2 linked regions of the Pelodiscus sinensis genome follow. The protein of the gene in region 2 interacts with the protein of the main gene of each other region in a biochemical or structural test. Links are inferred from orthologs where the notes say so. Each region holds a gene or a part of one and is shown on either strand. Other genes may lie near its edges. The genes, in order: CRYBA1 and CRYAB.

Evidence for each region.
Region 1: the proteins of CRYAB (region 2) and CRYBA1 form a complex in vitro, tested with the Homo sapiens proteins (2 studies listed by BioGRID and IntAct, with this or other methods). The link is inferred for Pelodiscus sinensis from reciprocal best matches to the Homo sapiens genes CRYAB and CRYBA1.

What each region holds. Positions count from the first base shown.
Region 1 is NC_134731.1:2,053,276-2,068,702, reverse strand, and holds the start of CRYBA1 (beta-crystallin A3), read right to left. Parts: upstream 6,782-15,427; 5' UTR 6,658-6,781; coding exon 6,627-6,657; intron 3,066-6,626; coding exon 3,001-3,065; intron 2,437-3,000; coding exon 2,318-2,436; intron 1-2,317. UniProt on the Homo sapiens protein: Crystallins are the dominant structural components of the vertebrate eye lens.
Region 2 is NC_134736.1:6,795,378-6,810,804, forward strand, and holds CRYAB (alpha-crystallin B chain), read right to left. Parts: upstream 9,761-15,427; 5' UTR 9,567-9,760; coding exon 9,369-9,566; intron 3,885-9,368; coding exon 3,762-3,884; intron 2,406-3,761; coding exon 2,202-2,405; 3' UTR 2,055-2,201; downstream 1-2,054. Other genes in the region: HSPB2 (heat shock protein beta-2), read left to right, coding at 14,969-15,062. UniProt on the Homo sapiens protein: May contribute to the transparency and refractive index of the lens. Has chaperone-like activity, preventing aggregation of various proteins under a wide range of stress conditions.

The sequences.
Region 1 (15,427 bases), on a different chromosome or scaffold from region 2:
CCCCAGCCCAGCGAGCAGGGGCCCCAGCAGCCCCCCTGGGGCCCGTCCCATGCTGCCCGTGAGGGGCTGCAGCGCGCCTGGGAGCCAGCCCGGTGGCCAGTGGGGAGGCTGCTTCTCCCCGCGCCGATCTGCAGGAATCGCTGCCCTGGGCGCCGGAGCCTGAGCCTGCACGGGCAGAGCCCCCGCTGCGTCCCTGCGTTCGGCCTGCTGTCTGGCATGGAGCCCGGGGGGGTCACTGGCTGGTGCAAAACCCTGGGGGAGCCTGGGCTGGCATGGAGCCCTGGGGGGTGCTGGCTGGCGCGGAGGCTTGGGGGAGGTGTGGCTGGCTGGTATGGAGCCCGGGGAGGGGGTGCTGGCTGGCGCGGAGGCTTGGGGGAGGTGTGGCTGGCTGGTATGGAGCCCGGGGGGAGGTGCTGGCTGGCGCGGAGGCTTGGGGGGGGTGGCTGGCTGGTATGGAGCCCGGGGGGAGGTGCTGGCTGGCGCGGAGGCTTGGGGGAGGTGTGGCTGGCTGGTATGGAGCCCGGGGAGGGGGTGCTGGCTGGCGCGGAGGCTTGGGGGAGGTGTGGCTGGCTGGTATGGAGCCCAGGGGGGGGTGCTGGCTGGCGCGGAGGCTTGGGGGAGGTGTGGCTGGCTGGTATGGAGCCCTGGGGGGGGTGCTGGCTGGCGCGGAGGCTTGGGGGAGGTGTGGCTGGCTGGTATGGAGCCCGGGGGGGGGTGCTGGCTGGCGCGGAGGCTTGGGGGAGGTGTGGCTGGCTGGTATGGAGCCCGGGGGGAGGTGCTGGCTGGCGCGGAGGCTTGGGGGGGGTGGCTGGCTGGTATGGAGCCCGGGGGGGGGGTGCTGGCTGGCGCGGAGGCTTGGGGGAGGTGTGGCTGGCTGGTATGGAGCCCGGGGGGAGGTGCTGGCTGGCGCGGAGGCTTGGGGGGGGTGGCTGGCTGGTATGGAGCCCGGGGAGGGGGTGCTGGCTGGCGCGGAGGCTTGGGGGAGGTGTGGCTGGCTGGTATGGAGCCCGGGGGGAGGTGCTGGCTGGCGCGGAGGCTTGGGGGGGGTGGCTGGCTGGTATGGAGCCCGGGGGGAGGTGCTGGCTGGCGCGGAGGCTTGGGGGAGGTGTGGCTGGCTGGTATGGAGCCCGGGGAGGGGGTGCTGGCTGGCGCGGAGGCTTGGGGGAGGTGTGGCTGGCTGGTATGGAGCCCAGGGGGGGGTGCTGGCTGGCGCGGAGGCTTGGGGGAGGTGTGGCTGGCTGGTATGGAGCCCTGGGGGGGGTGCTGGCTGGCGCGGAGGCTTGGGGGAGGTGTGGCTGGCTGGTATGGAGCCCGGGGGGGGGTGCTGGCTGGCGCGGAGGCTTGGGGGAGGTGTGGCTGGCTGGTATGGAGCCCGGGGGGAGGTGCTGGCTGGCGCGGAGGCTTGGGGGGGGTGGCTGGCTGGTATGGAGCCCGGGGGGGGGGTGCTGGCTGGCGCGGAGGCTTGGGGGAGGTGTGGCTGGCTGGTATGGAGCCCGGGGGGAGGTGCTGGCTGGCGCGGAGGCTTGGGGGGGGTGGCTGGCTGGTATGGAGCCCGGGGGGGGTGCTGGCTGGCGCGGAGGCTTAGGGGGGGTGGCTGGCTGGTATGGAGCCCGGGGGGGGGTGCTGGCTGGCGCGGAGGCTTAGGGGGGGTGGCTGGCTGGTATGGAGCCCGGGGGGGGGTGCTGGCTGGCGCGGAGGCTTAGGGGGGGTGGCTGGCTGGCGCGGAGGCTTAGGGGGGGTGGCTGGCTGGTATGGAGCCCGGGGGGGGTGCTGGCTGGCGCGGAGGCTTAGGGGGGGTGGCTGGCTGGCGCGGAGGCTTGGGGGGGTCTCTGTCTGCAGCTTTCTAGATTAGCTCAAGAAGCCGGGGAGCGGCTGCAGCTGAGCCGCACTGCCCCACTCTGCTGGCCTGGCGTGGGTGACTGCAGGGTGCCAGCCTGGCTACAGCTCCAGAGCCCTCTCAGGGCAAGAAACGGGCCTGTCCAGGGGGTGACCCGCCCGCGCAGTCCAGGCCTGGCTTGGAGGCCGGGAGCTCTGGCCTAGGTTTGCTCCAGATGCCGGGGGGCGGTGGATCGGCCGTCTGTGCCTGGAGGGCTCCCAGCAAAGAGACAGGCCGAGCGGCGCAGACTCGGCCGCCCGTTCCTCCCTGCCCCTGCCAGCCACCTCCGGAAAGAAGCCAGCCGTGGATCTACGGACCTGTGGGTGCAGCCGCGCTCTGCCCCGGCCCCCGCTCGCCCAGCCGTGCGCTGCATGGGGCATCCCTCCCGTGTTTTAGCCCAGCCCCCCTGTGCGGTCCCAGCAAGGCCCCCCGGGTACTCACGCCCCACAGTCCACCTTGAGGGAGCGGACGGTGTCGAAGCCGCGCTCCATGGTGTTGGAGCAGGCCGAGGTGAACTCCATCTTCTTCCCCTGGAAGTTCTCTTGGTCGTAGGCGGTGAGCTGGGGGGGAATCGCCCCGGAGGGCGGCGCGTGGGAACGGGGCGGGGAACTGGTGCCCACTGCACAGACCGTCCGTGGCAGGGCCTGGTGCAAGCCGCCAGCGTGGACCCACCGCGCCTGGGACTCCGGCCAGGCGCTGGGCTGCCCACCAGGGCGCTGTGGCCCGCAGGTGTGGGGGGTCACCCCGGCCTCGCTTCTTCCTTCCCGCCCCACTGCCCAGCTCTTTCCACCTCCGTCCCCAGGCGCGCACGGCCCTTGGGGCAGCCCCCGCAGCCCTGCGCTGCCCTCCGCCCGCGGGCGCTGCAGCCGGGCCGGCAGGAACCCGCAGTGCGTGCCCGCTGCTCACCTGGGCGTGGCGCTCCTGCCCCCGGCTGCTTGTACCGCAGGGCAGGGCAGACACAGGGGGCAGTCAGCACTGCGCCGGGGGCAGGAGGGCGGGTGGGGCACCAAGGGCCAGGCCCCTCCCTGTGGGTCACGTCTAACTGGGGGGCAGGAGACGTGCAGTGCCCAGCGCCCGCTCCCTGTGTAGTACCCAACCCAGCACACGGCGCGGCTGGGACCTACCTTCCAGGGGCCCGTGGGGCCGGGCAGAGGGTTGGTCTGAGTCATCCTGGCTGTGGGGACGGTGCCTGGAAAAGGAGGAGGGGAAAGTACAACTCGCAGCCCAGGGGCGCTGGCTGCTCTGAGAGCTGTTCTGCCCACGCGTGCTGCTGGCCCAACCCGTCACTGAGCCCCCCCCATTCGCTGCTGGCCCAACCCGTCACGGAGCCCCCCCCCATTCGCTGCTGGCCCAACCCGTCACGGAGCCCCCCTACCCCATTCGCTGCTGGCCCCACCCATCACGGAGCCCCCCCCCATTCGCTGCTGGCCCAACCCGTCACGGAGCCCCCCCCATTCGCTGCTGGCCCAACCCGTCATGGAGCCCCCCTACCCCATTCGCTGCTGGCCCCGCCCATCACGGAGCCCCCCCCATTCGCTGCTGGCCCCGCCCATCACGGAGCCCCCCCCATTCGCTGCTGGCCCCGCCCATCACGGAGCCCCCCCCCATTCGCTGCTGGCCCCACCCTTCATGGAGCCCCCCTACCCCATTCGCTGCTGGCCCAACCCGTCACAGAGCCCCCCCTACCCCATTCGCTGCTGGCCCCGCCCATCACAGACCCCCCCCCCCATTTGCTGCTGGCCCCACCCATCACGGAGCCCCCCCATTCGCTGCTGGCCCCATCCGTCACTGACCCCATTTGCTGCTGACTCCCCCCATTTTCTGTTGGCCCCACACACTCCCCACAGAGGCAGCGCAGGGCAGGGCCGGGCCACAGCTGAGCATGTTGGGCGGGAATCCCAGTGAAATACCCGGGCCTGGCTTGGAATACTGGGAAGATGAGCACGCCCAGACACCTCCCCGGCGGGGCTGGGTACAGTGCAGGTGCGCTCACACCCACACACACAGTGCATAGGTGCACACTCACACACACAGAGCACAGAGGTGCACGCTCACCTCCCCACACATACACAGTACAGAGGTGTGCGCTCGCACACACAGCACAGATGTGCACACTCAGACACAAACAGAGCACAGAGGTGCACACTCACATAGACACATACACAGCACAGAGGTGCGCACTCACACACACACGTGCAGACAGAGGTGTGCACTCACACACAGACACACACGAAGCGCAGAAGTGCGCACGCACACAGACACAGTGCAGAGGTGCGCACACACACACACACACACACACAGAGCGCAGAGTTGTGCACTCACACACAGACACACACGAAGCGCAGAAGTGCGCACGCACATAGACACAGTGCAGAGGTGCGCGCACACACACACACACACACACAGTGCAGAGTTGAGCACACACACAGACACATAAACAGCGCAGAGGCATGCACTCACACACATGCAGACAGAAGTGCGCACTCACACTCACATGCGGACGGAGGCGTGCACTCACACACACAGACACAGAGGACAGAGGTGCGCACTCACACACAGCACAGAAGTGCACACTCACAGCCCCAGCCCCACCCAGTGCGCACTCACACCCCAGCCCCACCCAGTGCGCACTCACACCCCAGCCCCACCCAGTGCTCACTCACACCCCAGCCCCACCCAGTGCACACTCACACCCCCAGCCCCACCCAGTGCGCACTCACAGCCCAGCCCCACCCAGTGCGCACTCACACCCCAGCCCCACCCAGTGCTCACTCACACCCCCAGCCCCACCCAGTGCGCACTCACAGCCCAGCCCCACCCAGTGCGCACTCACACCCCAGCCCCACCCAGTGCGCACTCACAGCCCAGCCCCACCCAGTGCTCACTCACACCCCCAGCCCCACCCAGTGCGCACTCACACCCCAGCCCCACCCAGTGCACACTCACACCCCAGCCCCACCCAGTGCGCACTCACACCCCAGCCCCACCCAGTGCGCACTCACACCCCCAGCCCCACCCAGTGCGCACTCACACCCCCAGCCCCACCCAGTGCTCACTCACACCCCAGCCGGGCTGGCAGCGGGCACAGGAGTGCGAGCGAGAGCAGCCAGCCCTGTTCCGAGCAGGGCGCTGGAGGAGGGAGCTGCCCTCCGGCCGTGTGCTGCTGAGCTCCTGCCCCCATTTGCTTTAAGGCAGGACCCGCCGGCCTGGGCTACGTCAGCCTGGCCCGGCCTTGGGGGCCCGCCGCCGGCTCTTTGCTCCTTCCTGCCCCTCGCGCTGCCCCTGGCCTGCGAGCCCCCTTGCCCCACCCGTGAGGACGGGCGTCGGGGCAGGGGAGACCCCGCTGTACGTGCTGACTCTTTGCAGGCTCTCGGGGGCCCGGGAGGGGCTGGCCTGGCCTCCGGCCCCCTCTAGCCTGAGTGAGTCTGAGGAGAAAGCCACGTCCAGCCAGAGGCACTGCCGCTGAACGCCCTTCCCTACGGGCAGCATTCGGGGCTTGTGGGGGTGAGCTCAGTCCCGGCCCCCGGCCCCCGGCCCGCCCCCTGCAGGTTACGTCCCCTGCCGGGCACGGCGACAAGGGATCAGCACCCCAAGGGGACTAGGGGTTATCCCCCTGGGTAGCAGCGCCATCAGGGACAACACTCACCTCCCCCTCCCCCCAATGAGCGGCAGGGCCCAGCTGCACTCCCCACGGCCTTCTCGCACAGTCCAGATTTCGTTGGGAGCTTCTGTCTGCTCCCCCCCAAACACCCTGTCCTGGCTGGAGTGGAGCCCCCCCCCGTGCAGAAACGGAAACACGTTCTCTCACTATTTGCCTGCTGAGCCTGAAGGAGAAAAGCCTATCGTTTGTGTGTGTGTACGAGCAGGTGTGTGAGCAGGAAGGTGTATTCTGTGTCTGGGTGGGTGAGTGCGTGTGTTCCACGTCTGAGTGGATGTATTCCGTGTCTGGGGGGCTGTGAGTGGGTGACTCTGTGTGCATGAGCAGGTATATGTTGTGGCTCTGTGTGTGCGTGTGAGTGGGTGTATTCCGTGGCAGGGCGTGTCAATGTGAGCATGTATCTTCCATGGCTGTTTGTTTATGTGCGACTGGGTATATTCTGTGGCGAGGTGTGTGTGAGCGGGTGTATTCCGTGGCTGGGGGCATGTGTGTGAGCGGGTGTATTCCGTGGCTGGGGGCATATGTGTGAGCGGGTGTATTCCGTGGCTGGGTGGGTGAAGATCTGTGAGGTAGGGCACATGTTTTCCTAGGTGTTTGCACGGCACCAAGTGCAAGAGGCCCAGTCCAGCGGGGGCGCGGGAGGGTTACCACACCACAGACAACACCACAAGCCGGAGCTCGCCGGCAGGCAGTGCGGCCCAGGTGTAACAGGACATCACCTGCCGACGGTGCCGTGTTCTGCTGCAGCCGCCAGAATTCCCTGCTCTGTCCACACACCGGCCGGAGACCTGGCAGCTTCGCCCGCTGCAGACTGGCGAAGGGAGGAACCGTTTCTGAGGTGATGGGAGGGGGCGCGGGAGGAGGCCGATCCCAGGGCAGGGGCACCACCCTGCCACCTCCTGAATCGCCTGTGCGGTGTCTGGGTCGCGGGTTCAAAGGCCCGTTGGGGAATGGGCCTGTGCCAAGGGCTAACCCTGGGGACTTTTATTGCAGCCCCTGGCGCTCGGCCGGAGGGAGGCCGCGTCTGTCTGGCTGAGAAGAGGGAACGGACAAAGCGACGGGAAAAGTCGAGAATCCAGCCCCCGCACTCACCTAGCTCGGCCTGCGCTGCTGCTTCCTCCATGTAACGCCCGACTGCTCCGGAGCCTCCCTTTATATAGGGCCCGGCTGGCAGAGCAGTCAGCACTCTGCTTTCTCTGGCCCTGGTTCCTGCTGAGCCCCGGAGATTCCAGCAGCTCAGCGCCCTAGTCTGAGCCACCAACAAAAAACACCCCCCCCCCCCCCGCCCCGCGTGTGGCTGTTTGCACGGCTAATCTGGGTCATGGATGACTCAACAGCTTGGGGCTCTGGTTCTTTCCAGCCCAACAGCATCCCTCTGTCATGAGACAAGCAGGGGGCTCTGCCCCCCCCCAGCAGGGACACCCCCTGGGGGCTCTGTCCCCCCCATCAGGGATACCCCCCCGGGGGCTCTGCCCCCCTCCTAGCAGGGACACCCCCCAGGGGGCTCTGCCCCTCCCTCCAGCAGGGACAACCCCGGGGGCTCTGTCCCCCCCCAGCAGGGACACCCCCCGGGGGCTCAGAAAGCCTCTGGGCATTTCCTTTCCCATTCCGGAGGAGCCTCGCGAACGGGACACAGGCCTTCCCAAGGGGGTGCTGGGGGTATGGCAGCCGGCCTGCTGCAGAGGGCCCGTTACCCCACATGCATGGAAAGGGTGGAGCAGCTCGCGGGTGTGGGCTGGGTGACCCCGAGGGAGGACCCCTCTCCATCTATATTAATACTCACACAGCCCCCATTGCTGCTCTGTGAGAACCTCACCCTCTTCAGTGGACTTACCCCTCCGACTACCCCTGCGAGTTACCCCCATGGACCAGATGGGGAGCTGAAGCCCACGGGGGCTAAGTGACGGGCCCAAGGCCACTCAGTCACCAGAAGCAGAGCCAGGAACCGAAACCTGGTCTCCCAAGCACCCTGCCTCCTGGGCTGTCCTTCCTGTCTAGGCGCCCCCGCGTGGAGCGCTGCCTGGGGTTTGATTTCGGAGGGAATTAGCCGGGGCTCCCCGGTGGTTAGCTGTCTGACAGCAGCTTGGGCAGGGCTCGGAAATGGGGAGCTGCTGGACCGCGACGGAGATAATGGAGTTCCCCGCTGCAGGCGTGTAGCAGTGGGGGCAGGCCTGGCGCGGTGCGGACATCCGGCCCTGCTCTCCATGGCCCTCGGCTGCAAACGGGGGGCTCTGCAGGCTGGGTTGGGACCAGAGCGGCTCCCTGGAGCCCTGCACGCACCGGCCATGCTGCCCGGGGAGGGGTTGCGTCAGCGCGGAGGAAAGGGTCACGCCAGCTCTGCTCAGCTTGACCATCAGCGTGGGGGGAGGGCGCCCAGAATGACCTTGTAGTGGGCCAGCTTCCGGGGCGGAAGGGGCAGCTTCCCAGCTGGGCCGAGCTCTGCATCTCCTCTGGGGAGGAGCGCCTGAGCCACATACCCGCCGGGCCCAGGCTCAGCGTGGCCGGGAGGGGGCCTGCTGGTTTGCAGACCAGCTCGGGGGGGGCTGGCTGCTCCCTGAGGCGGGGACCTTGCGCTGTGGGGGGAGCCCAGGCACAGCTGTTAAAGACGCCCCTGCCAGCCCTCAGAGCCCTGCAGAGGAACGGCTAGAGGTTCTGCCGGCCCCTGGCGCCGGCCTCGCCTGGTGGCCTCCCACTGCACGGCGGGAGCCGCCATCCGGCCTGCCCGTGGTAACCATAGTAACTGCATCCTTCTCTCTCCCATCCCTGCCCCGGCCGTATCCCAAGTGGCCTGGTGCCCGCAGGTTTGGGCCCAGGATGCCCCCTGACCGAGCCCGGCCGGCTCCTTCCTTCCCAGGCCGGCCTGGTTGGGCTCCTGGCGGCCCTGCCCCGTGGCAGGCCAAGCCTGTGTGTGCTGGGGGCCTCCGCCCTCAGCAGCCGAGCGAGGTCAGGCGCGGGTTGCTGGCTCAGCGCTTCGCTCCCCGCCGCACAATGGGCCGCTGTGACGTCTGACTGCCCCTTTTGTCTGGCCCTGAGGGGGCGAACAAAGCGCCCTGTCAGCTCCACCTGGGCCTGCCTATTGTCCTCGCCGGGCTTCCTGCCCTGGGTCGAGGCAGGCCGGGCTGGGCTCTCCGCAGTGTCCCCTGCAGACCCCAAGGGGCAAACCCAGCAGGGACGGTCCCGGGGAGAGGGGAGCCTACAGCTGGGTGGTAAACGAGGAAACCTCCCCCGGAGGGTCTGCCCCCGGCCCCTAAATGTCCTTGCTGGGTGTCTGCCCTTCAATGCTCCCATCTCCTCAGCACCCCCCCGGGGGCGCCCATCCGGCTTCCCTGGCAGCGTCTCCCCTGCTGCAGCGGAGCCCCTAGAGCGCCGGGTGCTGCCGACCCACAGCGAAGGGCAGGAATGACCCTTAGGACGCAGCCTGTTGGGGTCGGCAGGGAGGCCCCCCAAGTCCAGCCAGCACTGAGGCCACAGGGGAGGGTGTGGGAGGGGCAGGGCACAGCCGCTGGCAGTCGCTCTGGGGAGGAAGGTGCCAAGCTCCGTGCGATTGTCCCGCGCCAGGCTGGGGAGCGCCCCAGCACGGGGAGAAGCGACGGAGCCGGCTGGAAGGAGCCAGGGAGGGCTGTTGTTCCTGGTGACACAGGACTAGGCTGTGAGGGGCACTTGGGCCACAGGCCCACGCAGGGGACTAGGCCCCCGTTGAGCCCATGGCTGGGCTGCGCAGGGCGCTGTGGCACGTGGCCCCCTTTCCTGCTTACCCAGAGCAGAGAGGTGGGGGGAGCCGGGGCCCCCAGAACACCAGCCGGCCCAGTGGTGTGGCACGATGGGGGCTTAGTCCCAGGGGAGCCGGGCGGCTCCTGTATGTCCCGGCTCAGGGCTCTGCCTGGCTGCACAAGGAGCCCCAGAAAGGCCTTTGCAAAGGGCATTTTTCCAGGGGGGCAGGAGCCAGCCTGCCTTTCCGCGCTGGCGCTCCCCAAGAACCCACGCCCGTCTCCCCGCACGCCGGACAGACGCTCCCGCGGCGTGGTGAGGCCCAAGGGACCGTGACGCTCCTCCACCGGCCAAAGAGCCTTGCCCAGGGACCCCTGCCACCTCCCCCAGTGGGGCTGCCGCGCTGCCTTCCGCATGCCCTCCGTCTGGGTGGGAGGGGCCACGGGGCAGAGCACCCCCCAGTCTCGGGGAGACGTCCCCTAGCTAATTCCCCTGCTGCTTAGAAAGCAGGGCCTCAGCTCCAGTGGGTTCCAGTCCGAGTTTCTGCTTCGAGCCACTGGATCGTGGGTTGCTTTTTGCTGCCTCTGGTCTGAAATCTCTTCCCCAGGCAGGTCTGGACGGAGCGCGACCGGCCTCCTTCCTCGCCTTCCTTGGCCGCGTGGCTTGGACCTCCTCGGCCCTGCTCGGAAGCAGGTGCCCGGAGCCAGAGCGCTCCGCGGTTTGCCGGTGCCGTGTGGTGGGGACACTTGCCCCTTGCTGCGCCGAGGTTGTCTCCGCGACGATTGGGAGCCGGAACCCCGCGGGCCGGCAGATTTGTGCGGGCTCCGAGCCCATCTCCTCGGGTGGCAGGACGGAGCCTGGGCCCTGAAGTCTGCGCAGGCTGGACTCTGCCCCCACCCATGCTCCCGGAGAGCAGCCCCTCACTCTGCCAGCCCAGGGGAGTGGAGCCCCCTCATGGTGAGTAGCAAGGGCAGGCGCTGTCCCCCTCCGGCGCCCACCCCACCGCCAGCAGGGCTCCCCCTGCGAGCAGCCCCAGGACCTGGCTAACCACGCTGTGGCTCCAGGCCTGTCCATGGCAGACGGCTGCCCTGAGATGCAGCCGGGTACATGAATGCCACCTGGGCCCGTATCCCGTGGCTCCGTGGCGCTGGGGGAAAGCAACGGCGAAGGAGGGGGGAGACCGGGGCCTTCCTGGAGCTGCCGTACAGTGTCAGGCCACTGGAGGGAGAGCTAATCCCAGGAAGCGAGCTGGGCCAGCCCGTGGCGGGCGCCCTCTGGCCTTTCTGGCTGCAGACCGTTGTCGCGCCAGAAGCCAGCCAGCCCTGAGAAGTGGGGGGCGAGGAGAAGGAACCCCCTGCTCATCCCATGGGGCAGGGCTGGGAGGGGATGCTGGTCGCTCAGCTGGGAGCAGGGGGGTTCGCTGCAGTGCGGTGGGTGGCAGAGACCCTTCGGCAGAGCCCCAGGGCTGGGGTGAAATGAAAACGAAACGCTCGCTGCAAAGCGGATCTTGGGCTCCGACGGCGGCTGGAGCCCGCGGACTTGGTAGCCGACGTCAGAGGCCGTTAATGGGGAGCAGACGCGGAGTGTCTCCCTCCGGTCCTGGTGTCTCCTCGTGTCCCCCCCAGGGATGCGAGAGTGCAGTCGATTAACCGCACGCAAAGCGCACAGGTTAATGCTCTACACGACATTTCTCCCCCACCCCAAGGACATCTTTTAGCAGGCCGGTCGGCAACCTGGCTCAGTCCTGGCTTGCGACGGGGCTGGGACCTACCTCTGCTGCGGCTCAGTTCTGGCTCATGCCTGGTCCAGGAGCTCAGACACCACCCCTGGACAGGGGCTGCTGCCGCCCTGCACTGCTGCCTCTGTATCAGAGGGGACAGCGCCAGGTGCCAGGCAGCTGGTCTGCGGGGGAGGCGGGGGGGAGCTGGTTTTGAAACCAGCGTGGAGTGGCCGGGGGCTCCTCGGAAGTGAGGCTGGAGCGCACTGGCTGCCGGCCCCATCCCCAGGGACTATAGAATAGTCGACTAACCGATAAGAATTCGTGAGGTTACTCGACTATTCAGTTAACCGATATGTGACATCCCGAGTGCCCCACCCATCCATCGCCGGACGTCCGGCTCTTTTCGCTTGGGGAAGGGGCTGGTGCTCTGTTTGTCCTGCACCTAGAGCAAGGCGGGCTGAGCCACGAGGGGGGCTGTGACAGACCGGGCCGTGTCTGGGCACAGTTGAGGGCGTCCGCTCAGGGCGAATTGCTCAAATCCGGGGCTCCTTACAGCCCCCAGACTGGTGACCTTTCCAAACCGGCCACACACCAGTCCCACAGAGCGCTCCAGCAGCCTGCCTGAAGCCTCACGAGCAAAACCCCTCCGACACCCCAGCAATATCCGTGCCCCAGATGGCCCCGGGCCTCATACACAGGTGGGGGGCCCTAACACCCAATCCCACCTACCCCGAACAAGTTCTGTCTGGTTCCAAGAAACCAGCCACAGATCCCTGGTCAATTTACCCTCTGGACCTTACCCACAAATCACACTGGGCCAATCCTTTAGCATCTAACATCTAAAGGTTTATTACCACAAGAAAGAAAAGCCTGAGAGTGAGGTTGTTAAAGGATAGTACGTTACATGCACCGAATCTCCCAGTCCTCGATGCAGGCTCTAGCAGAGATGTTGCAGCTGCTGGTTTAAAAGTTCTTGTTGCACATCCTACGATCAGGATGGGTTCACAGGTCTTCCGGGCTCTTCGATCCCTGCACTGCTGCCTCTGGGATGAAGTGCTGAGCTGAGAACAAAATGGCATCGACCACATGGCCTCTTTATACCTCCTTCCTGGCCTCTTCTGGTCTCAGCCGGTCACCTGGTCCTCAGCCTCTCTCTGCTGGCCGCTCTTAGGTGTCCGCCCTCATGCTTTAGGTGTGTCCTTGGCCCATCGAGTGCCATTGTCCCACAGGGCCTCGCTGATTAGCATGTCCACAGGCCGGGCTCTGCCCAATGCTCAACCACATGCAGAGAAGAATTCAGTATCCACACAGACTACAGATTCCTAACTACACACACAGACGTTATACAACCACATAAATATCTTACATAGGATTATCAGATAATAAGCTTCTATTCAGCACCCCACATGGCCCCCTTTTATACCATTTTCTGGGGCCAACACCCCCACCTATGGGTGCAGCAGTGATCTGGCTGCTCCCCTCAAGATCCAGTAACGTGACAGGGGCTCCAGCCCCAGGTAGATCGTAACGAACAGCGCTGGCCTGGAACGGACGGGACGGGGGAAGAAATCCCACTAGGGGTGCAGGCGGGCGGGTGGGACTGGGCGCTGGGCCTGCGGGGCTGGGCTCCACGCCGCTCTGGGCCACGTCACCAGAACCTTTCGGCAGGACCCAGGCAGGAATCGGCTTCCCCGGTCTCAGAGCCCGTCCCCAGCGTAACCGCCTCCACAGAGACCAACGCAGCTGCGCCTAGGCCGGCCCTGGGATCTCCCCCTGCCTCTGATGCCAGCTCCACCTCAGGCCACTACTGCAGGCGGCACGTGCCCAGGCCCCACCACGGAACCGTCGGGGCAGTATCTAGGGGTCCAGGCTGCCCATGGCATGTGAGTTCCGCGCCCAGCCCGCCAGGCGGGCCCCTAGCCAGCACTCCCCAGCAGCGGCTGGTCCCTCTGCTGCCAGCTGTCCTGCTTGCCCTGGCCGCTTGCTTTGAGTTCCCCTGGGGTCGTGCTGGAAGGGGGGGTCCGTGCGGCTTGGAAGAACGGGGAGGGCGTCCCACTCCCCCACAGCGTCTGCCGCCTCGGAGAGGGGCGGGCGGGGCCGTTTCTGCCTCGGGGTAGAGCGCTGTCGGCGAGGGCTCCCCACAGGCCGGCTGGAACTCTGCTAGCACACGAGTCCGGGGGACGTTCTCCACAAAACCCTGCTCCCTTCCCCCCGGGCGGCAGCCGGATGCGATTCCCTGGCCGGAGAGGAGCCAGCCCTTGCAAAGGCAGGGCCCCCAGGGCCGGATGGACTGCCTTTGGCTGGGCTGAGGTGAACACCTCACCCAGGGCGGGGGTTGGCCTACGCAGTGCTCCCCTCAGGGTCGTGCTGTCCGATCCAGCTGGAGCGCAGGGCCACTGGCTTTTCTGGGTCCTGGGGGTCCCCCAAAAGAGACTCCCGTTAGCTCCATGGAATGAATCCACCTCTCCTAGGCTCTATCGGTTTTCACTCTCCCGGCCACCACAGTAGCTACATTAGGGCTGTAAAATCCTGTGTAATTGGCTCACCGGTTACACTTCTAGTGTCATGTTTAACTGGGTAACCAATTAAGGGGGGCCAGTCCAGCCCAGCTGGGCAGGAGCAGCCCCTGTCTGGAGCAGGTGGGGGGCAGTTCCAGCCCCCATTGATTAACGGGGACCGGTAAGCCTTTCCCCTCCCTAATCTCAATACGACCTGGCAGCACCCTGAGCATCTGACGCGTGGCTTGCTCTCCCGTGGGGGAGGACTGTGAGCAGGGTGAATTGGTGTGTTTGTAGGGCTGCCAGATGGTTTAACCAAAAATATCGACCCTCCCCCCGAAAAAAACCCCATCAGGGAAAAAATTCTGTTGAGAAAAAAAAAGGGGGAGACCAAAGTTATTAAGCAAAAAAAAAAAAAAAAAAAAGTGTGTCCCCTTTAAGAAATGCTTTTGGGGTTTTTTCGTCTCCTGGCTGGGACAAAATCAGAAAATATTGGACATTTTAGGTGTCCGGTATTTTCCAAATGTTTTTACCAGACAGGAGGCGAAATACCGGACTGTCTGTCACGTTACTGAATTTGAGGGAAGCAGCCATAAGTGGGGGTGTTAGCCCCAAAAATGGTTTAAAAGGGGCCATGTGGGGTGTTGAATAGAAGCTCACTGTCTGCTGATCCTGTGTACACTAGTCATGTGATTGTAGAATGTCTGTGTGTGGAGTTAGGAGTCTGTAATCTGTGTGGAGACTGAATATTTCCCTGCATGTGGTTGAATATTGGGCAGAGCCTGGCCTGTGGACATGCTAATCAGCGAGGCCCTGTGGGACTATGGCTCTCAATGGGCCAAGGACACACCTAAAGAATGAGGGCTGACACATAAGGGCTACCAGCAGGGAACACAGGGATAGGCCGTGGGCCAGGTGACCTGCTGTAGCCAAGAAGAGGCCAGGAAGGAGGGATAAATAGGCCATGTGGTGGTCTCCATCTTGGTCCTCAGCTCAGCACTTCATCCCAGAGGCAGCAGTGCAGGGATCAAAGAGCCGGAAAGAACTGTGGACCCATCCTGGTTCTAGGATGCGCAACAAGGACTTTTAAGCCAGCAGCTGTAACATCTCTGCTAGAGCCTGCATCGAGGACTGGGAGATTCGATGCATGTAACGTACTATCCTTTAACAACCTCACTCTCAGGCTTTTTTTTTATTGTAATAATAAACCTTTAGATGTTAGATGCTAAAGGATTGGCCCAGCGTGATTTGTGGGTAAGGTCCAGAGGGTAAATTGACCAGGGATCTGTGGCTGGTTTCTTGGAACCGGACAGAACTTGTTCGGGGTAGGTGGGATTGGGTTCTAAGACCCCCCACTTGTGTTTGAGGCCGGGGGCCATCTGGGGCACGGATATTGCTGGGGTGCCGGAGGGGTTTTGCTCGTGAGGCTTCAGGCAGGCAGCTGAAGTGCTCTGTGGGACTGGTTTGTGGCCTGGTTGGAGAGGTCACCAGTCTGGGGGCTGTAAGGAGCCCCGAAGTTGAGCAATTCGCCCTGAGCGGACGCCCTCAGCTGTGCCCAGACACGGCCCAGTCCGTCACACTGTCCGGGTCCGTACCGGACACCTGGTAACCCCCATGTGTTTAGGAAGGTTTTTTTTACACACACCCCTGCTGTGGGCTGTGCCAGAGGAGGCCGGTTGGGGCAGGGCTCTGGCGGAGCTTTGGGCTGGCTCTGAGTTCTGGGGGGGCTGTTCTGTGCCTGGGACCGGCCCTGCTCGTGCGCTGTTGGCTGCCCAGCCAAGCTCGGCCCTGGGGGAGAAAGTGCCGTAGGCCCAGGGGGTGACGCTATGGGCCTTGGTCCCCAGCTCAGAGCCGCAGACTACATGCGCTGGGCCCCAGCTGGGAGCAGGGACGGGTCGTGCCCCAGGCTGTGGGAAGCCGGTGCAGGGAGCGCAGTGCAATCCCCCCATGCCTTACCCACTAATTAG
Region 2 (15,427 bases):
TAAATATGCAACCAGGTGTTGTCAGCAAGTGGACACTTATAAACGTGACTAGTTATTTTTTCACAAAATCTGATTAATTTAATTTTAATTTTGTTTCTATCCCCATAAGGCCCAAGGGAATGTCACATTTGACATCGAAATCTATCACTTCTGAAATGTTTTTGTGTGTTTAGTGAGGCGAAGATAATGAACTATCTGAGAAAATGAACTTTAGGCCGTAATAGAAATGTCACCACTCACACATCACAGGACAAATCTGCACGTGGCAATTCTCTGCATTCCGCTCTGTGCTAGAGTTACAGACTAAGGCGGATCAATGCTACCGCTGTTTTCCTTTTGCCAGCATCCCTCAGGGTTGAGCTGCTAGTGGCAATTGAGTAAAACTCTAAGCATTTTGTATCACTGTACAATCAGCTGAACATTTTATACATCAGCTGCTATTTATTGTTTGAAGGGCAGTGGCTGCATAGTTTCAGAGTGATGTGATTTGTACCATGAGAGCAGGACATTTCTCTCTGCTGTTGCTGTAACTGTGTTTACAGCAGCTTTGCCATTGTAACCTGTGTCTGCTCTGAATTAATTGCTGCCTTTGGACATTATTCACAATGCGTGCTATTATGGAGGTTTCAGATACAGTTTTCCTGCCTTAAGTGTTAGCTAATGCCCATAACTAGAGTGGGTTGAGACCATCCTGGAGTTTTCAAACCAATTCAATTAATTTCCCCAGAATGACTTTTCTGATGCTTGTAAGACATAATTAGGAGGAATCTGGGACTTGGGGAGGTCTGTTCCAGACAGAAATAGTGTGGAAAAATCAATCATGCAACCAAGGTGGTGGCAAAATATTCCTGCATATAAAGTGAAACCAGCAATGTAATGTGTTCCTTAGTGCCTCAGGTTGGGGGAGACTTTGGTTTCATAAAAGCCTAATGTAGTCTGAGCCCTGCAATGCTCCATCCTTGAGCCTTGTATCCATCCATCTTCACCCTGCCAGAAACGGGCAGTGCCGGTGGGGTTCAAAGTAAACTCCTGTCCTCTCTGAAACTCGCAGCTTGCAAAGTGCTCTAGAGGCAGCTCTTCTCAGCTTCCCCACTACCTGTGTGCCTCAGAGAGGGAAGAGAATGGGAGTGTGGGGCCATTGTGGGAGGTTCAATCGTTACCCTCCCAAGCCTGCGTCCAATACACAAGCTACTGAGGGGTCCTGAGAGAGGCTTTACTGCTCGGTTCCAGGTCTCCAGACTCTGCAAAAGGAAGATTCACTTAAGTCCCAGTAAGCACAGCAATCCCTTGGGCCTAGCCTAGAGCAGGGGACTGATGTGCTTGTGTTTCATGCAGCTGTGTCCAGTCACCCTACCAACACCATTGTGCTACTCATATATGTGAGCATGTAATACTGCATCTTGCCATTTTCAGCTCTCTGGATTTATTATTCAGGGATCAAATCCTTCAGTTCTTACTGAGTCAAATCTGCCACTCAGGTCAAGGGTGCCGCAAACATCAAATAAAATCTTTAGGATTTGGCAACAGAGGTATATGAAGAAATTTTAGAGCTGACTTGGCTATGGGGATCACAATAGACTAGAGGGCCTGTCTAAATCAGGATATGTGTGCTGCTTCCTACAGACTGGATACAAATCATATCTTAGATTGTAAGCTGCTTGGGGCAGGCACCATCTTTTGGGTTCTGTGTTTGTATTGCCCCTAGCACAGTGGATGTCTAGTGCATGATGGGCTTCTAGATATTACCACAGTACAAATAACAATAGCATGCATGTACACTAGAGCATGGGTTCCCAAACTGGGGCGTGTGCCCCCTTGGGGGGGTCTGAAGAAATTCCAGGGGGAGTGTGAGGCGACCTACCCCATCTGTCAGAGCCCCCCCGCCCCCACAAGTTTTGCTGCTATTTGGGGGGGGGGGGGAAGCGTGAGGGTTTCTAAAATATCAAAAAGGGGGCATGATGCCGAAAAGTTTGGGAACCACTGAGGCACAGTCTTACCAAGCTTTTCTATACTAGCAGTGACGCCACATCCAAGTCAAAGACAAAACCACAGGATGCTTATTTATGTTTTATTTGTTAGCAAATGAGCTTGTTCTCTCTCCTTAGCATAAATAAATAAGTATGGCCAGTCAGTACAGCGTGTGCTGCTTGCATCCAATGGAAAGGTTTTCCTGGATGGAAAAGTCGGTTTCAAACAGCTTCCTACTTCCTCTGGGCCCCTGCGATGGCAGATTTCTCCTCGCGGGTGATGGGAATGGTGCGCTCGGGAACATCACTTTGTTTCCTTGGTCCATTCACTGTCAGGACACCATCCGAAGACAGGGATGAGGTGATGGACAGGGGATCCACATCCGCTGGGATCCTGTACTTCCTATTGAACTCCCTGGCAACGAAGCCATGCTCATCCTTATCGGAAGGAAGGAAAATAACAGCCTAGGTTTGGTAGGCCAACTCCATTCCAATTAATAACATCCCCTCCCCCGGGAGCTGAGGTCAAGTTTGGGAATCTCCCGCCCCAAAGGAAAAAGTTTCAGAAAGTTCGGAACATCCCCATCTCGGGACACCTTGGCAAAGCAGCGGGGCTAAGCGGAATTCAGACACTGCATGGTGCTGTCCAGGCTTAAGCTGGACGCAGGCTTAAGAACCTTGTAAGCTTCATTTCCTGGTGGGGCTTCGCAACCTCATTTAATCACATTGCCCTTATTAGTCCGAGTTCTACTGTCGTGCCATAAAACGTTCCAGGCAGAGCAGTGACTGGTACCATTCCCCAGGGTCTGTGTATATTACAATGCACAGATTCCTAATCATCTGATCTCCAGTACAGCTCTCAGTTGCTGCTGGGGAGTTTTGACTTCACCCTCCTCCCAACTGTTGCATAGGTATTAACTATTAAGGGCCATATCTCAGTGGAGACTGCACTTAGGTCACCAAGGGCAGAATTTGACCCTTTGGCTACGTCTAGACTGGCATGATTTTCCGGAAATGCTTTTAACGGAAAAGTTTTCCGTTAAAAGCATTTTCGGAAGAGAGCGTCTAGATTGGCACGGACGCTTGTCCGCAAAAGCACTTTTTGCGGAAAAGCGTCTGTGCCAATCTAGACGCGCTTTTCCGCAAAAAAGCCCCGATCGCCATTTTCGCGATCGGGGCTTTTTTGCGGAAAACAAATCTGAGCTGTCTACACTGGCCCTTTTGCGCAAAAGGGACTTTTGCCTGAACAGGAGCAGACTTCCTTTCTTACAGTAGGAAGTCAGTGCTTTTGCAGAAATTCAAGCAGCCAGTGTAGACAACTGGCAAGTTTTTCCGGAAAAGCGGCTGATTTTCTGGAAAAACTGGCCAGTCTAGACACTGCCTTTGAGTGTACAAGCTACAGTTATAGGGCTTTGTCAGAGTAACATTCTGAATAGCAACATCATTTGGTTTAATTATTAACTATTCTGTGCCTTATTACCTGATTTGATATTCATTAATTAATCTCCAAACTGGTGCTTTCTTCTCCTTGCCCTCTTGGCCCCTTTCCCAACAAGAGAGAGGTTCAGAAATGCTCATTTGATGATTGTTTTCCCCTAGCAATAGCCTCTGCCTTGATGTTGCCCATCTGTGATAGGTCAGGGGGCTGCACTCAGCATCTTCGTTAGGGTAAATGATTAATTAAAGTGAACAGAAGTTATTTCAGAGACTCAAGCACCAAGGCACTTTTGCCATCTTGTGGGATCCTTGCGTGACAGAAACGGGGCAATTCAGACTTTGCCAGAGTGGATATACCTGGCGCTCCTCGTGTTTCCCATGGACCTCGATCACATCCCCCAACACCTTGACTTTCAGCTCCTCAGGAGAGAAATGTTTCACGTCGACATTTACGGAAAACTTGTCCTTCTCCAGTCGCATCTGCAAAGCAAGGGGCTGGTTAGAAAAGAGCAGCTCCAATGCCAGCTGGAGGTGCCACCCGGCACCCAGGCAGGTCAAGAGAAAAGTGCCTATCAATTTTAATGATGAAGGACCAAACCCTAGAGTAGGAGGCCATTGTCCAACATGCCCTGCCCCGAAGGACTGTTTAAAGGCAGCAGGAGTTGTCTAATTCATGGGTTCCCAAACTGGGGGGCGTGCCCCTGTGGGGAGGGGGGGCGAGAGGCGATCCAGCCCCCCCAAGTTTTGCTGCTATTTTTGTTTTTTGGCCCTGGTCAGTTCCTTCCCCCCCCCCCCCCAACAAGTTTTGCTGCTATTTGCGGCGGGGAGAGGGGGTGTAAGGCTTCTCAAAAATCAAAAAGGGGGTGTGAAGCCAAAAAGTTTGAGAACCACTGGCCTAATTAGTTTCAGTCCATGCCAGGTTGTCTTTGTCTGCCTAGGTTTCTTTATTGTTGTCCATCACTGTAGTATCTGAGCACCTATGTCTTGTCTTGACTAGCAGAGGATAAATACTTTCTTGTGGAGTGTGAAAGGGGCACACTGTTGACTTGGACTTTTAGGAATTGATCAACAACTTTGCATTTGACCAATTGTTATTAGTTGATATTGTTTGTTTGTAATTCCTTTTGCGGAATTATTTGGAATTATTATTACTTTCTGCTCCCTTTCTGGATATTTACAGGGATCTTGTCAGTGATAGAGTGTATTTTCGTATAGTTCAGTTCACATTTTCTCCTGCATCGTCAGAGCCTTGACTGATCTAACGAAGGTGTCATTGGCAAATTTTGCCATGAAGGATTCACCTGCTCTTTTCTAGATCATAGATAAATACATTAAACAGTATTTTTTCCTGGTATGAAACACTGAGTCACACCCTGCTAATCTTTTGCCTTATTTCCTTTACCAGGTGGAGTAAGTATCTCATTCTATTGGATGCCCCAGGCAGGTTTTCCATTTCTGATGTGTACCTGTTTGACTTGAATAACCTCTTAGTCCCTGTCATTTAGATAAGCTGTTTTCTCTTTTGCCTTTCTGATTACTTACTTCTTTTTTTGCTGCAGGATGTACATATCTTCTGAGACTGTTAGGAGATGCTTAAATAGCCTCCTTGCTGACTCTCAGCACTTTGGTTTCCTCACTTGGGACTCAGAATCTCTCTGCTTCCTCAGTTGTTTGAGTTTCCCTTCCTAAAATTTAGTTTTTGAATAAGATTCCTCCATCCAGAATGCTGAACCTAATTACACTGAGCTCTCTACACCTGGGAGCTGAGCAACAAACAGAAGTTGGTTCAACCGGCAATTATGTCTCAGCCACCACATCAAGAAAATGAAGAGGAAAAAAAATATTTGCCCCTTATGTCTTTCAGGGTACGTGTACACTGCACGGCTACTTCAGGATACCGAATAGCTACCCTGTTATCTACACAAGCCACCTGTTATTTCAAAATATTTTTTGAAATAACGGGCACACTATTTCACCATCTCGGTAAATTTCGTTACATGAGGGATAAGGGATGGCTCGAAATAGCACATTATTTTGAAATTTGGTGCTGTGTAGATGCATCAACTATCAAAATAAGCTATTTCGAAATAGGTTCGAAATAAGATACCCAGTTTGCATAGTGCAAACTGGGTATCTTATTTCGAGTTTAGGGTGCTGTGTAAACGCACCCTCAGAGTAATCCTAGATGTTTTTTGTCCCTCTGGGTCTGATCCACAGTCAATGAAGTAGAAGATGACCTATGTTTTCAATGGGCTTTGGAGGAGCTCTAAAATAGGCACAAACTCTTCAGCTAGCAATGGGACATTAAAAGGGTGGTGTTCCTTTAAGACTCTGCTAGGTGTGTTAGTCATTAGCTTGTCACACAGTCCCTGCATTTCTCCTCTACAATTTAAGCTGCTGTTAATGCTCTTGGAAACTTTAGACACCCAAGGCCTGTTCCCGATTTACACCAGGCTGGGAGAAGAATCAGGCCGGTTGTTTACTAACTCCCCACTGTGCTTCAACTAGGGCATTGCTATCATAGCAGCTGTTTTTGTTTTTTGCCTCCCACTCCCAACTGCAAGGCCGAGAGGGACAAAAGGACACTTGTTTGGCGTGCAGCAGTTCAGAGCTTGCGCTGAAGGACATTTTCACAGGAATTTCTGCATGGCCACGAGTGTTTATGAAGCCCCAAGCAATACGAACTTGGAGCTCTGCCAGCTTCTGCTGTGATTGGTTTGTGAAATTCCCTGGGAGGAGGGAGACTCAGACAAAGGTTCCGAGTCTGAGGACTAAGCAAACTAATGCTTAACAAATGACAGTGGGAACCACAGGGAGGATGGAAGGGGGGAAAGGGCAGAGAGGATATTAAGGGTCAGGGAACAGGCAGCGTGGAGGGAAGAATTTTCCTGGCTCTTCTCTTACAAATTAACTACCAAGCTTCCATGCATCATTCTCCTCTGTGTTTAGCTTCTTCTGGAGGAATCCCAAGCACTTCTCTGAGCTGAGATCACAGAGGAAGATGCCTAAAGGCCCATCAGCCTCTGAGGATCCTTTGCATCAGCTAGGTTGCCACAAAGGGGTTGTAATGTAAGGCAGGCAGAAGCTGCCTCTACTACACATTACCCCTGGCAAAAGAAGCTGTTATGCTCTGGTACTGCCAGCTCTGTGCCACCCCTGCAGCAGCCCCAACCTCCTAGAGATACTGAATCTCCCCTTATGGGGCTTTGAAGCAAGGGCACAATTTGAACTGCACCGACGGCCAGCAGCACTTGAGTAAGGAAGGCATGAACCGTCTCCCCTGGGTTGTGTCAGTGCTGGATGAATCTGACCTCAGGTGCAGGGAGCACATGGTCGGAGAAGGGAAATCAGCAGTAGATAAGCCCACTGTGCTGCTGGAACTAGCCAGATCTCATCCTCAAGAGACTTCCTAGGAGTCCCTCCAAGTAGCCAAGCTACAGCAGGGATGGTGCCACCCTCTGCAATGAAAGCAAAGCTGGTTCCTCCCATTGGTTTGATCCCTCTGAGAACTTTCCCTCTAATTAGTGCTCTAAGCACCAGGTGCCAAGTCAAAAGGTATTTGCCCCAGAGGGATCTGATGCCTGAACGAAATACAAATAGGGGCAGACTTGCACTTACTACCATCTGAGTGGTGCCATGTGCAATCAGCCACCCGCTGACACTGTTCCTGGAGCCGAATGGGCCAACAGTGACCTATTCTGGGGTGCTGGAGTCACAGCGATCTCCCAAGAGGCTAAAACAAAATACAGGACTATGTAGCACTTTAAAGACTAACAAGATGGTTTATTAGATGATGAGCTTTCGTGGGCCAGACCCACTTCCTTAGAAGAACTTCCTCTGGCCCACGAAAGCTCATCATCTAATAAACCAGCTTGTTAGTCTTTAAAGTGCTACATAGTCCTGTATTTTGTTTCAGCTACACCAGACTAACAGGGCTACATTTCTATCACTATTCTACATCCAAGAGGCTAGGGAGAGTTGTTCTGTACTAAGGTTTTCCCGGTCTTCCTACAGCACCAGTTCCTGGATGAACGCATTCTTCACATTTCTGGCTCATTAGAAATATGCAAGGAATCAGCGAAGCGGAGATGCAGTGGAGCAGGGAAGCATGGGCGGACTGTTTTCTAGCTCAAGCTTGATACTGACAAGAAGATGATCCTCCGGGCACAGGGGTATCATTTACAAGGCAGGGATGGAGGGCAGAGGATGGATCCATCTGCACCTATCTTAAAATGCAGTTTTACTCTGGGCCCTTGTTGTGCGGCACCATCAGCCCCACAAGCATCGGCATCTGAGCTGATTGTCTTAGGAACAGGTTTTTGGACCAGACTGCTGATAACATCTGTTGCTCCTGGGAAAGGGAGCCAAAGATTCGGATGCTATTTATTTCTCATGTGGTAGCACGGAGCAATCTCAGTCAGAGATCTATTGTGCTAGGTGCTGTACAAACCCAGGGCTCCTGCAGCACCACAGTCTCAGCGGTAAGGCCCTCTATAGACACCAGCCAAAGTTTCGTGCACAGAATCTTTGCGTCTGAGCATTAAGCGTGAGCCCAGTGTGACTCAGATCTCAGATTTTGCTGGGCCAACAGTAGCAACGAACACGTTTTTCCTGGTACACCGAGCGGTTTTTCTCCATAGATATCAAAAGAGGAAGGACACGGAGCCAACCCATTATGCCAACTTAGGCACTTTGCAGAGCAGAACCCCAGTCTGCTTGCCCTTCTAAGACTAGAGCCTGCCAAAAACCTGTTTGCTCAGTTCCTTGCAGATAGGTATGATAATCTACTATTTAACTAATTAACCCTTTGTGCAGACAGCGGAGACTCTATGACTTTTCCAATGTCGTTCCTAGTCTGATTGCTCACAATTCAGTTGCTTCTCAAATGCCGGCCAGCTCACAGATCTAACCTGCAAGAGGCATGTAAAATGACATGCGCTCTTGTACGTTACGATGTCACTCATAAGCCAGCGAGTCAGGCACGAAACCCTTGGGGAGAGGGATGCAGATTTGGAAGTGAGCTCCATACCTGCACACCAAAAGCCGAGGAAACTCAGGTGCTGCCTTTGGGCTCCATGGAGAGAGGAGTACTCACACCTTAGCGCCCCCTGTTGGTCACTCCACAGAGCAGCATTGGAATGGTTATAGCGGGGATGGAGATTTCATCTTCCTCGCCAGCATTAAAACACGACCAGTAAAACAGGGCCCAAGAATGAGGCAGTGGGGTAAGCAAGACAGCCTCATCTTCTTTAGCAATTAGGTCAGGGAGACTCCGGCATCAAGAGGATGCTCAGGATTTGATGCCTGGAGATCCTCAACATCTGTAAGTCTCTAATTCTCTGTGACTCCACAGAAGTAAGGCAGAGGTAAGGGAGCTTCCAATGAGGAATTGTGCTGGGTGAAAACTGGGACAGGCAAGAGGAAGCATAACTGAGGTGTTACCGCAGGGGGCAGGGACTCAGAACTCCTTTCCCCAAGAGGGAGCGGGGTGTTATAGTTAGGAAAGTGAATTGGGCATTCAAAGCTTCTGCGGTCTGTTCTCTGCCCTGCCACTGGCTGCTGTGAAATTTCAGGCAAATCACTCTGCCTCTCTATCCCATGGCTACCAGAACATGCCCCTGCCTTACCGGGGTCTGTAATGCTTAATTAATTGATATTAGTGATTCATTTTGAGGTGCTTGCTTCACAGATGCAACTGAAGCATGATAAGTATTGTTATGACATAAAGGGTTTCACACTGATGTAATGCCAGGCAGCGCCTGTAGGACCAAATCCAGCCTGGTACAGGGAGCAGGGACACAAGATGACCCCGTCTGTTGCTCCCTCCCCCAGGTTTTTTCTAATCACAACCTGTGAGCAGCTTCCCAGGGGTTCCCCAGGGAGGCAGGCTGGGCAAAAAGACTCCAGTCCCAGCCAGAGGCATGCACAGGCAGACAACAAAGTATGGGAAGAGAGAAACATTACCTCTGAGAATCCCGTCTCTAGCCAGCTGGGTGTCCTTAGGAAGGGGGATCTCAGCAGGAAGGGGTTGAGAGCGCCCGAGGTAGGGAACAGCTCAGACTCTAAGAGATGCTCTCCGAAGCTCTGGTCAAAGATTCGTGTTGGCGTCAAGAAGGAAAACAAGGGTCTGCGGCTGAAGGGGTGGTGAATGGCGATATCCATCTGTGTTTATCTGGGAGAAGAGTAAGAATTTATGTGCAGCAGAGTTCTTCAAGGACTGGTGTGCCAGGGCTTTTTATACCCGCTGCCGTCCAAGCCTCGCCCCCACTGAACTCTCTGGAAGGGTGATGTCAGGAGTTTTATTATCCCAGCTCCAGTCTGCTCCATTCAGCAGTGGCCAGTCAATTATCTAGGGGATTTGAATGCGCTGCTAAGGAGGAGGGGAGAAAAAGTCTAGTGGGTCAGCAAGAAGCAGAGCTGCCCGGCCCCACACCCCCACGCACTGTTTATCATCAGGGTTGGCTGATGTCGTTGCTGCTTCAGATGCCAGGAGGAGCAAAGCAGCTCCTATCTTTGGCTCGCACAGAAAGTGACAAGGGTCCGTTGTCTTCATCGTGTTCGGAGTCTAGTTCCTGAGGTTACACACGACTCTAGAGATGGCTCTGCCGAGCGAGCCTTATGGAACAGCAGCTGCGGGCCTGCTTTAGTCACAGGACTCACCGCCAGAAAAACGCCGTTAGATCGCTCTGTCCATCCCAACCTCCCACACAGCTGGTGTGGGTCTGTCTGTCCTGCCTGTACATGCCTTGTGCATGTCTGTATTTCCTCAGCCCTCTTCCTCCCAGCTGGTGCGGCTGTCTGTTTTGACCTCTCCTGCCTCTTCCCACATGCCACCTCATGTGTTTCTGTCTTTCCTGACCCCCCTATCTCTCAGATGGTGTGGATCAGTCTGTCTTGACTCCCCCATATCCCAGCTCATGGTGGTCTGTCTGTCCCAACCTGCCTCTCCCACCACCAGGACAGAGCTGTTCCCTCTTGTGTTAGCAGGTTTCCAATTTTTAGTGTTGTCTCTATTATGCAAACCAGGAATAAAAGTAAGGTCTGAATCTAAAATGTTGATCATCCTCTAAGCAGTTTTACTAACTGGCTTCTTTCCTTCTTTCTCTCTCTCTCACCACACAGGGGGGTACCTACAGGCAAGGCACCCAAAGGATAGAGGGTCAGACATCTGGGCAAAATGTGTGTGTGAAGCTTCAACCTCTGCTGAACTGTGCCTGTTCGAAGGGTGAACATAGGATCGCAGCCCGCTGTGTGTCAGTCCAGCACTTCCGTCTTTTCTTCAGTGCTAAAGCCACTTTGATCGGAGATTTGGAGGAAGATGAGAGCAGTGGCAACTGGTGCCACCCAGAGGGGCAAGGAGGAGGCACGTGGGAGGATAGCAATAAAGATTTAGGTGGGGACAGCACATCTCCGGAGTGCTACCACGAGTCCCCTGTGGGTGAGAGCTGAGCACAGTCTAGGTGTTCAGACTGACCTGTTACATAAATGGAACCACCTATATTGAGAATGCTCTGAAAATGCTGTTAATGCATCACCACCCTCGCAGACATACAAGCTGTGATCTATCTATCTATCTATCTATCTATCTATCTATCTATCTATCTATCTATCTATCTATCTATCTATCTATCCTCATATATGCATCTATCTGTTGTGAGCAAGACACGAGAAGTCATTCTTCCGCTCTACTCTGCGCTGATTAGGCCTCAATTGGAATATGGTGTCCAGTTCTAGGCACCACATTTCAAGAAAGATGTGGAGAACTAGGAGACAGTCCAGACAAGAGCAAGAAGAATGATTAAAGGTCTAGAGAACATGAGCTATGAAGAAAGACTGAAAGAATTGGGCTTGTTTAGCTTGGAAAGGAGAAGACTGAGAGAGGTGTCTAAAAGGGTGTCACAAGAAGGAGGGAGTAAAATTGTTCTCCTTAGCCTCTGAGGATAGGACAAGAAGCAATGGGCTTAAAGTGCAGCAAGGGAGGTTTAGGTTGGACATTAGGAAAAACTTTCTACCTGTCAGGGTGGTTAAACACTGAAATAAGTTGCCTAGGGAAGTTGTAGAATCTCCATCTCTGAAGATATTTAAGAGCAGGTTGGCTAGATATCTCTCAGGGATGATCTAGATGGTGCTTGGTCCTGTCATGTGGGCAGGGGACTGGACTTGATGACCTCTTGATGTCTCTTCCAGTTCTAGTGTTCTATGATTCTATGATTCTATACGCATCTATCTATCTGTGTATCTATCTATCTATCTATTTCTGCTCCAGAGAGCTGACAATCTAAGTAACATTTATTGAATGAAACACACTGTTATTGTTCGTATGTTATTGTTCGTAATGGTCAGGGCTCGACAAATCAGTGAATCTACTCGCCCATGGTGAGTAGATTTCAGCTGGTCGCCCCGTTCACCGGCAGCGCGCGCATGCACAATGCGGGTCTGGCGCATGCGCAGTGCGGGGCTGGCGAGTAGATTTCGCTGCGGTTTGTCAAGCCCTGGTAATGGTGATAGCCCAGCTTCACAGACAGGCTCCGGGACACACTCCTCCTGCAATCTCCCTGCTCCCCTTTGGGAGATAGATTCTTATGAGTTTTAGCCAGCAGCTGCCAAGAGCACAGTGGAGAGAGGACCAAAGCCACATCCAAAGGCTCTCCAGTTCCCTCTCTTCCTTCTTTACTTTAGTGACTCGGTGGTGTGCATGCAGCTGCTTGGGATGGATGTTGGGAATGAATGTGCAACACCCAGAGAAACTCCCACAGCCAGACCCAGCTGTGGTTCAGCTCTGTGCCATATTGCTCCAAAGCAGACAGCACCCAAATGAGGCCAAAAGGAAAAAGGAGAAATGCTGCCTGGGCACAGGCTGACCCAGGAGCCTTTCTCTGGTGCAGAGCTGTGCTCTGATCCTGTTTCATTCACAAGTGAAGAAAAGATGGAAGAGAGCAAGAAGGGTGAGACTCCAGCCCTGCCAATGCCTCCCCGTGGACCTGCAGCTGCCGCCCCTCAAGCCTGATATGCAAAAGCCCTGGATGTGTTTCTCCTGGTACCTCAGCCAGGTTGGCATCCAAGTTTGCTGGTGTGCTACCCAGCCCTGCCCACTGCTGAGCTGCGCCCCATTTGTATTCATAGAGCTACTAAAAATAAAAAGTGACTCATATAAGCCACTGGGTTAAACTGAGCACTGAGTAAGTCTGATTACTAAGGCTAATGGAGGAACATGCAATGACGGGACGGGCGCAGCCGCCCGACGCCTTGCCAGCTGCCACCAAGTGTGACATCAGTGTTGTATTTCTGGTTTCTATCCTTTCTGTTCGGGCGCCTTCCTTTTCTCCTTCTTCCAGTGGGTTTGGCTATATGTGCTGGGCTGACACCTTCCCAATGGCGCTGCTGGGAACTTCCTCCTGACAGTGCCCTTCCCCTGGTCTGCAGACTTGTGCTCTGATAGGCTGGTCACCAGACGTCTCCACACAGACACTTGACTCTCCGTCGGCAACCCCAAGGGAAGGGCGTCCGTCTGTTACAGGTGGCCGTCTGTCACCTCGGCTGGGTGATGAGGGGGTTTTCCAACACACCTTGCTTAGGAATGGAGAGGTAGCTTGTCCGCTCCTTGGGGCGGGGACAGTGGTTTTGTTCTGTGGCTGTACCGCACCTAGCGTGGTGGCGTCTTGGCCCATGACTGGGCCACCTAGATAATAACAGGGAGCAGGCAGCCCTGTCTTTGAACTTCACTGGCTCCAAGTCTGCGCTCACCTACAGCAGCTGTTGTAAATTCCATTGATGACAACAGAATCACCTCTGCTCTCTCTGAGCTAGTGGACACAATGGCCACATCCCGTGCTCTTGCCTCTGTTCGGTCCAGGAGGAACCATTTTCCTCCCAGCTCCGGGATGTAGCTACAGTCAATCCGCAGTCAATCCTGCGGCTGGCTCTTGGCAAGAGGGACAGCAGGCAAAGGGGGCAGCAACAGCCCAGGTTGTAAGTGTCTCCTTGGATTATTTATCATGTAAACAAGAAAGATGTGATGTTGGAGCACCTGCTGCTCTGTGCCTCGGAGACTTGGAGCCTTCAAGGCATCTCCAGTTTCAGGCCACAAGGGTCGTATATGGGGACTAACCCATTCAGGACTTTAAATACGGATCTGGGCCAAATTCAGCCCCCAAATAGCTGAGGCCCGTCTATCGTAGGCATTTCCATTGCATCAATCCCTGTGATACTGGAACCCTGACATTGGAGAAAGGCCAGGGATCATTTTAGCTCATTAGTATTTAGTGGCTCAGTTTGGAGTGGGCAGCGTGGCGGGGGCAGGGAGAAATGTCCACACTATTTAGCACATACACACAGAACTTTACACCTGCTGAGTGATGAAGCGCCTCTGGAAATCAAGCTCCCTTGGATTTTGTGAAACAGAGAACGACTCCTGAAGAGGTGAATGGGAGAATGGTCTTGCTGCTTCCCACAACATGCCCCAGGGCCTAGCACAGTTCGGACCCCTGGGCTAATCAAGCCCTGGTGGAGGCTAGAACATTCGTTGCAACAATGTATCACCCTAAGTACCCAACGGTCTGTTTGGATTCCAGTCTAGATGTGTGTGGTATGTGGGGTACTGGACAAAAATGCAACCCTGTGTAAAGCATTTCCCAGCATGAGCTAATTAATCGTCGCGGGGGAGGGGGTGTGGGGGTGCTCAAGCCCCTGAGGTCCTGGTAGGCAGGTTGGTGTTATTAACCCCATTTTGCAGATGGGAAGAGTGACTCATAATGAGGGGCGAGGCCACAGAACACATCATTGCTCAGAGATGGGATCAGAGCCTCAGAACTGCTGGCACCCAGTCCTGCATTCAGCACCTAGTACGTGCCCTCCCCTTAGTGAACACCTCATCCGGGCTGGCTTGAGCCATTCCTGTGCCCCGGGCAGCGGGTGCGCGATGCATGCGCGGCTCCACCCCTGGGTGCACAGCACATGCGCGGTTCCCCCCCCCCCCCCCCCGGTGCACTGTGCCCCATAGCACTGCCATTAGGTGCCACGCGGCTGCGCGGCGCCCCTTAGAGCTGCTATCAGGCGCCCCCTATAGGTCAGCGCCCTGGGCAGCTGCCCGGCTAGCCTCCGCCTTAATCCAGCCCTGCACTTCATGTAACTCTGCCTAGGCAGTGTTTCCATTCGCTCACCTTCCCTGGAACCCCCTTCAGCCTATGCCTCCCAGTCCCAGTCCTGCAGCCTCTCCCATTCCACTTCACTGCCTGGCACACCCAGGCCCCGGGAGCAGGGAATCCTAGCCCTCTGGCTTCCAATCCAGCAGGACAGCACATTTTGCTTTCTGGAGCCTTAAACTCAGCCATCCAATAGCTGCAGCCCCTCCCTGTCTGCAGACTGTGGCTAGTACCCAGCAGGAATGCAGCGAGGCCCTTTCCCTCATCCTCCTGGCTGAGCGTCCCTCGGCCTGTGTGTCTATTTCGGTCCGTATCTTTGTCACGCACCTCCCTACGGAATTCACCCGATTAAAACGTTACGATCTGCAGCCCTCTCACTCTGAGAGGCAGCAAGCACACAGACGGTCCCTTCCCCGACAGACTATGGCCGAGCGGACTCTCCCCCATGCCTACCCTATGAGCACGGAGTACGAATTCGCCAACCCCAGCAAGATCTATGACCAGAACTTCGGGGAAGGTAAGAAAGAGTCTGGGCTTCTCCTCTGGCTACACTTCCCCATTCCTGCTGCTTTTGCTCACTCCTACTGCAGGGGACTGTCCAGAGTCATCCCCTGGGACATCACTTCCTGCAGACACAAGGTGAAGGAACTAGGGGTTCTGGGGGCGTTGCTGCACCCTCTGGTTTGAAGTAGATTCCATTACATAAAGGATTTACAATTTGATTCACTGACTCTCAGCACCTCCACTATACAAGCTATTCCAACAACCCTGCAGGGACACACAAGTGTGTGTGTGGGGGGCAAGGAATCAAGAAAACTGAGGGCCCGGGAAGGGGCAGAAGGCATCAGGAGAAGCCTCATTAGGAGCCAGGAGCCATCATGC